Linked DNA regions of Xenopus tropicalis. The protein of the gene in region 1 purifies or fractionates together with the protein of each later gene. This does not show direct contact. Links are inferred from orthologs where the notes say so. Each region holds a gene or a part of one and is shown on either strand. Other genes may lie near its edges.

What was found. Proteins that work in one complex are often made in the same cells at the same time.
Region 2: the proteins of vcp (region 1) and ppp1r7 purify together in Homo sapiens (affinity purification with mass spectrometry; 3 studies listed by BioGRID and IntAct, with this or other methods). This does not show direct contact. The link is inferred for Xenopus tropicalis from reciprocal best matches to the Homo sapiens genes VCP and PPP1R7.

The regions. Positions count from the first base shown.
Region 1 is NC_030677.2:212,825,781-212,830,093, reverse strand, and holds the start of vcp (transitional endoplasmic reticulum ATPase), read left to right. Parts: upstream 1-1,510; 5' UTR 1,511-1,623; coding exon 1,624-1,640; intron 1,641-4,313. UniProt on the Homo sapiens protein: Necessary for the fragmentation of Golgi stacks during mitosis and for their reassembly after mitosis. Involved in the formation of the transitional endoplasmic reticulum (tER).
Region 2 is NC_030681.2:125,946,470-125,949,985, forward strand, and holds part of ppp1r7 (protein phosphatase 1 regulatory subunit 7), read right to left. Parts: intron 688-3,516; coding exon 571-687; intron 1-570. UniProt on the Homo sapiens protein: Regulatory subunit of protein phosphatase 1.

The DNA of each region.
Region 1 (4,313 bases):
CTACTAAGCAGGGGAACTACATGTCCCAGAGTCCATCACTTCACTCTGGAATGAGGCGAGGGAGGAGTTGCAGGACACTGCAATGGGCAATGCCTAGAGGTGGCCATATATACGGGCCGATTCTAGCTGCCGATATGGGTCCCTTAGACCGATTCAGCAGCTAATCAGCCCGTGTATGGGCACTACCGACGGGTCTGCCTGACTGATATCTGGCCTGAAATTCTAAGATTAGCAGACAATGGAAAGGAATAACGACTCTGCTGACTTTGTGAAAATCTGTTTTGTTTTTTTACCTGTTTATTAGAATATAAAAACCAAGAAAAGATTTCAGCGGCCAAACGCAAGGTGGAAACTGGAGGTTCCGAGAGGCCCTAGGGCCAAACGATTGAATTAACCCGATATTGGGCACCTTAGATGGGAATATCAGGAGAAGAGCCACTTGTTTGGGGAGGTGTATGGCCACCCTTTAGGTATATCTGTTTAAAAACAAACAAACATATATTCCTATGTTTATGTACCTTGTTCCATGTGTAAAGAATGGGGACATATTTCCCCTTTAATGGCTTTAAGGATTGGAAGGAATGTTTATATGAATAGAAACAATTCCCACCAGGTAACTTACTGCCAGTTAGTCCAGCAAAACACCATCAGTTCCCCACAATAAACTGAACCATTAACCCCCTGTGTGCCAGCTTCTCTCCCAGTGCCAGGCCTGCCCAATGTGTGATATTATGGCACTTTGTGGGTCAATGTTACCTCAGCTCTGGGCAGGTAGGGGAAATTACCCACAATGCATTGCCTTACAGACAGGGCAGATAATGAGCGATCACTGCCATGTGAGGGGCAATAGATTGAGAGCTTGTAGCCCAGGAACTGCAGGGGGAGGGGCTAACATGTAGTACAGTTGGGGCACATGTATTACTCCTTATGGGTGAAGCTACTAGTGGGTGCATGGCTACAGGCCCAGGGGCCATATCACATTACAATGGCCAAACTTCATTTATTGTATGTGGCTGGGCGCCATATTCCATCTGTTGTGAGTAAATTGCCCTGTCACGCCGCTCAGCGAGTTGACTGACAGTCGGCCAACCTCAGAATTTGTTTCTCTTTTGTGCGGCTTCTTCCTGGTGACACGCCCCCTTTTCCGTTTTTTGACCAATCCCAGTCGGCCAGACGCGCAGTTGCTAGGAGTTAGTAGGACAGACGCGGTAGGCTCCTTCATTGCAGTGCGCCTTCATCTTTACGGACCAATCAGAAGCGGCGGCCGGGTAGGACGCTAGAGGCGTGGCCTATATCCCATCATTCCTTGCTCATCACCCGTCAGTTCTGGGCCCCGCTGATTGGTTGCAGTATTAAGACGCAAGCGCAGACGGCGGACAGTGATGCTGCACTTTACCCTCCTGTGTGTGTAAGCCCCGCCCAGCCGCCGGCGCTCCTCCTCCTTTCCCTCGGTCAGTCACACAGTGAAAGCGAGAGAACGGACAGCGGGGCAGCGAGCGGAGCAGCGAGAGGGAACAGCGGGACTCACAGGCGGGACGGGACCGAAACACCTGATAAGCGGCAGGAACCGAGCGCTCAGTTTCTCCTTACCGGCAGCGGAGCGGCACAGGCCGGACACCGAGCATGGCTTCCGGATCCGAGTGAGTTACCGGGGAGCGGGCTGAGGGGGGTCTGTGGGTGCCGGTGGGACGCCGCCGCCGGGAGCTCCGCCCATTGGCTGGCACAGCGGGACCCGGGGTGTGCGGCCTACTGCGGCCTCCTCATCCTGCTGTGTCATGCACCCCTCACAGCGGCACCTACCGGCAGGACTACAACTCCCAGCATTCCCTGCCAACAGCCGGCCCCAGTGTTATCTGCTGGGAATGGTACCCTGCCTGCCGGGACTGACCTACAGGAAACCTGCCGGGAGAGCCTTGTCTTTTCCAGTGGGTCACCTCTGGCTGCCTTGGGGGATGCTGGGAGTTGTAGTCCAACATCAGGATTAGGGTGCCCTGCCTCTAATATCATCATGTCTGGGGCCCTAGCTGCCCTGGGGGATGCTGGGAATTGTAGGCCACTAGCAGCATGGGTTTATACTGTATGACATTAGTGGGGTACAGGGAGTCTGCAGTAGTACCAGGCCTTGTACAGTGGCTGATCTCCAGCTGCTGTGGGGGATGCTGGGAATTGTAGTCCAACATCAGGATTAGGGTGCCCTGCCTCTAATATCATCATGTCTGGGGCCCTAGCTGCCTTGGGGGATGCTGGGAGTTGTAGTCCAACATCTGGATTAGGATCCCCTGCCTCTAATATCATGTCTGGGGCCCTAGCTGCCTTGGGGGATGCTGGGAATTGTAGTCCAACATCAGGATTAGGGTGCCCTGCCTCTAATATCATCATGACTGGGGCCCTAGCTGCCTTGGGGGATGCTGGGAGTTGTAGTCCAACATCAGGATTAGGGTGCCCTGCCTCTAATATCATGCTTGGGGCCCTAGCCGCCTTGGGGGATGCTGGGAGTTGTAGTCCAACATCAGGATTAGGGTGCCCTGCCTCTAATATCATGCTTGGGGCCCTAGCCGCCTTGGGGGATGCTGGGAGTTGTAGTCCAACATCAGGATTAGGGTGCCCTGCCTCTAATATCATGCTTGGGGCCCTAGCCGCCTTGGGGGATGCTGGGAATTGTAGTCCAACATCAGGATTAGGGTGCCCTGCCTCTAATATCATGTCTGGGGCCCTAGCTGCCTTGGGGGATGCTGGGAATTGTAGTCCAACATCAGGATTAGGGTGCCCTGCCTCTAATATCATCATGACTGGGGCCCTAGCTGCCTTGGGGGATGCTGGGAGTTGTAGTCCAACATCAGGATTAGGGTGCCCTGCCTCTAATATCATGCTTGGGGCCCTAGCCGCCTTGGGGGATGCTGGGAGTTGTAGTCCAACATCAGGATTAGGGTGCCCTGCCTCTAATATCATGCTTGGGGCCCTAGCTGCCTTGGGGGATGCTGGGAGTTGTAGTCCAACATCAGGATTAGGGTGCCCTGCCTCTAATATCATGTCTGGGGGCACTAGCCGCCTTGGGGGATGCTGGGAGTTGTAGGCCACTAGCAGCATGGGTTTATACTGTATGACATTAGTGGGGTACAGGGAGCCTGTAGTAGTACCAGGCCTTGTACAGTGGCTGATCTCCAGCTGCTGTGGGGGATGCTGGGAGTTGTAGTCCAGTCACCGTATCTAGTTGAACGCTGGTTGCTATAGAGAACCTGACATTGGCAACACAGGGTACCCTTTGGGTATAATAGGAGCCATAGCTGGGCATGAGGGTGGGTATCCATGGAAACCTGCCAGAAATGAGGCAACTTGCCGGGAACTCTTATTGGCCCTTTGTCTGCATCCCAATCTGAGCTATGGCTGATGTACCCTATCAAATATGTATAACCCTGCCCATTTGGGCCGCTGGCACACTGCCTGGGTGTGAGTATGTGCCTGTGGCCCAGTGCCAAGGTGCCAGTGGAACTGCTTTATGATGCTGGCACCGGTGCCCACAGCTGCTGGCACTCACAGCATAGAGAGGGGCCGTGCCACCTCATCCTAATCACTGGCCAGTTAGTGGGGTTTGGGCAGGACCTACCCCTGCCATTACAATGGTACGTTCCAGAACAGGCAGTGCAGAGAGATACACCAGGGTTATACCAACTGCAGCTGGGGGGGTTATATCTGTGTGCCCATGCCTATTGGCTGACCCTCGGGCCCCCATGTGCTCTGGGCCTGCTCCCTGCTGGGTCCCTGCGCTTTGCCCAATGAATGGTTCTCCCCTGTCAGCACAAATGCCCCTGCCCCCAGAGGGAACGGCCATGCTAAGCTTTCCTGCCCCTCGTGAGAGAAGCCCCCCCCCCGCACTACAGTCTGACCTTCTGGATCCCCAGCGCCCACCTACCTACCTGCCCCTGGGCTCTTGGGGTGCTCTCCTCCCCTTCTGCTCCACATTTATATAAATCTCTATACATTTGCCCAAACCTGCCCAATATTATATGGAGTAGCCCCCCCATCCCCCCTCCTTGTCCCAACTCTCTTTATAACCGGTGCCAAGCGATACCCTTAGCAACCTGGGTGTTATTATCCCCCCCCCTGAGGTGAGAAGTGGAACTGCAGGAGACTGGAGGAGCCCCACACACACTTGGCTGATAGTGATACCCCATTGGGAGATGCTGATGTATCCAGGATCCCGTACCCTGTGGGTAAATGGCATCTGTGCCCGCTAATTGGCAGGAAATAGGGCTGTACTTCTGGTTCTGACTCTTCAAACAATGTAGCCCTTCCCCAGTTCTGCAGCTGGATTC
Region 2 (3,516 bases), on another chromosome or scaffold:
CCAAGTGAATAGGGAATCAGGATAGAGAATTCCCTGAGGGATCCACTACGGGGTGTGTCGCAGAGGTGAAGGGAGATTCCTGCCAGTCTGCCCGCAGGGGAGTGTTAGTCTGAATATACACTCGGTATGTGTTGCCTGTACCACTGCCCTCTGAAGCTGTATTGTGAGTAAACCCTGTGGATGTTCAATAAATACTTATTACTTTGTTATTTGCAAGAACCTCTGGCGCCCTCTGGTTTAATTTTTCTGCATAGCAGCAAGAGAGGTGTAGTTGCACAACACCCTCACCTTCCTCTTCCACTTAGCGAAGGCCCATTCTGGGTAAGAGGGTACAGTGTAACCCATGTTCTACTGATACTAGTCCGGGAAAGCAGCTATTGAGCTGAAATAGAGGTTACACCGCCTTCTTCTTTTCTACTTTCAATTGGGGGTCACTGACCCCAGCAGACAAAAAAAACAAGAAAAATGCATGGTAAAAAAAAAAAAAAAAGCAGTGATGAAAAAAGCATTAACTGTCAGTTCACATAACTAAGCCCACACTGAAGCCTGCAGATTGTGGAAATGGCTTACCTGCACACTCAGAACAGTAAGGTTTGTCAGAGTTTCCAAATTCTGGAGTTTAGTGATTTTATTTTTACCAAGAAAAAGACTGTCGAGTTCTCGCAGAGAATCCAGGTTTTCAATCACCTGCAAATAAGCCACAGGTACAGTATTCATTACTACTATACACTGCTTACATAACAGATGGTATTTGTTTGAATCTTAAATCTGGGATACAAAAATGTATTGCCATAATACCTTTAACAGAACAAAGGGGTTCTTGGACTTACCTTGAACTGAACTGTCAGTGCAAAAGACTAAACCCCTAAACGCAGGACAAAAGCTCTCAACTCTTCTAATATATGGGTTGGCTCCTTCTTGTCCCCAGTTTAGGCTGAATGGGAAATGCCTGTACAAGTCATACTTTCTTGGCTACATGGACCAGACCAAAATATATTTTCTCATATGGGGGACACAGGGACAACTGGTTACGCTCCCACCAGAGGCAGGACACAGACAAAAAACTAAAAACTCCTCCTCCCCTTCCATATATATCCCTTGTTAATGCCTCCTACTCAGTTTTTCAGTGTCCTTGAGCAGGAGGTTAGGACCATGGTCTGTATAGAGACCCTACACAATTTTGGGTGGCAGATCAACAGATGGAAGTCTTCGCTTCTTCCCAGCCAGGTCATGCAAGTTTCTCGGATTGGTGTTCAACACAAAAAAACCAATGACACTTCCAGAGGACAGGCAAGCATGGGTGGGACATGGTATCTTATCTTCAGAAACAAGCACCTTAAAGGTGGCCATACACGTGGCGATCTGACGATGTTTCGTACGACCATCGGTCGCACGAAACATCGTAAGATCCGCCACACACCATTCAGGGCTGAATCGGCAGGTAAGGAGGTAGAAACAATAGGATTTCTACCTCCTTCTGCCGATTCAGCTCTGAAGGGAGAATTTTGGTCAGGCGCCTTCTATGGCGCCCGATCAAAATTTTCAAACTGGTCCGATCGGCGAGTCGTCCGATATCAGCAGCTTCCTGCGATATCGGTCGACTCGCCGACATACCATACACGCACCGATTATCATACGAAACGAGGTTTCGTACGATAATATCGGTGCGTGTATGGCCACCTTTAGTCAGATTTTGCATTAAAGTCCTCAGACTGATGGTCAGTGCCGGAATTTCTGATTAGGGAACTAGAGAACCTGAATTCGGTACTTAGAGCCTTGCAGGAACAGCCATTTGAAACAATGGCTTTGGTCAATTTGGAATTATTGACACGGAAGGTTGTCTTTCTGTTGGCTGTAGTGTCTGCAAAAAGGGTTTCTAAACTGAGCTTTCTGTCAGTTGCCCCTGATGGGTATTTCACAGGGACAAAGTGGTACAGAAAAAAGCTCCATCATTTCTACCTAAAGTGGTTCAGCCAATTATAGTCAGAGACTTAAAATACTAAGAACTTACTCATTAAGGCATTTGTGATCCCTGTGGGTCCAAGGAGAGGGACAGCTGCTACTAAGACTACAATGTCTCAGTGAATTACAAAGACTATCCATCAAGCATATGTGGCTTCCCACAGGAGTAGATCAAAGCTCACTCGACCAAGACCCTAAGCGCCTCTTGGGCGTGGAGAAACAATGCTTCTGCAGAGCTGCTGTGCAGAACAGCCACATAGTCCTCTATTCATACGTTTAGAAAATTCTATTGTTTTGATGTTTTTTCCTCCTCCAAAGCCAGTTTTAGTAGGAAGGTTCTTCAGGCTGTAGTTGTGACTGACTACTGTGGTACCGGTTTGTTTCCCTCCCTGGTTCCTGAGGGACTGCTTTGGTAGGTTTCAGAGATTCCTGAATTCGGGATTCGGCCGAATCCACGCTCCTGGCCGAACCGAATCCAAAAAATCATGTGACTTTTTGTCACATAAAACATGGAAGTTGAATTTTTTTTTTAAATTTAACCCTCTACATTTATCATTTAACCCTTCCAAAACCTAATAAGAATATGCTAAATAGGATTCAGTTCGGTATTCGGCCAAATCCTTTACAAAGGATTTGGGGATTCAGCCGAATCCGAAAAAGTGGATTCAGTGCATGCCTAGTTCCTGTGTCCCCCAAGGATGTAACAGAAGAGGTTAAGCAAGAGGTATATAGGGAATGGAGGAGGAGTTTTTGTTTCTTGAGTGTCCTGCACCCTGGAGGGAGGAGCTTAACCAGGAGCTTAGAGAGAAAGAGATTTAATGGTAAGTTATACAAAGATCTCCTTTTCTAGTCCAGTGTGGCCTACTCTATGACCTGATTTTGAAGATGGGTTAAGATTGCAATTGGGGGCGATTTCTGCATTCCTTAAGGTGTATTTGCATTGCTTAGACTTCACCTAGCCATCACTTTACTTTTGTTGCCTGGGCTTTCTGGGTTGTGGCTGGGTATCTACCATGATTTTTTTTGCAGTGCCTTACTGTTGTCCTTGGAAATAGTAGTGCAACTAATAGAAAAAAGTAACAGACTGAGTAAGCTGTAGAAGTCTCCACCATGAATGTGCCTTGTCTGCATAGATGCCCTGTGTTAGAACTGAAGCCAGATGTGACATATTGCTGGGTATCCACAAACTTTCCAAAATGGAACAATGCATTTAATAAAAAAAAAAAAAAAAAAGCGGCCAGCTACAATGGTGCCCCAAAGTACATGGAAGGGGAAATTTTTGAAAGCACAGAAATTCATGACCGACCATAGAAGCACAATAGTAGGCACACTAGCCAAGGTCCTGATTCATTCTTAATCATTTTGGCAAACAGCTGCTTACTAAGCTTTCTATATCTGTAATTGGGATCACTCTGATAACATATTGGCTGTCTCTCCCAAGCTGAAAAGTTCTTGCACCTTGTACACAATGTCTGAGACCACTAAGGACTTACTCCACTTACTGCAATGCAAGTGAATAAGAAGGAAGTAGTCAGTCCAGTTCTGCGCATCATA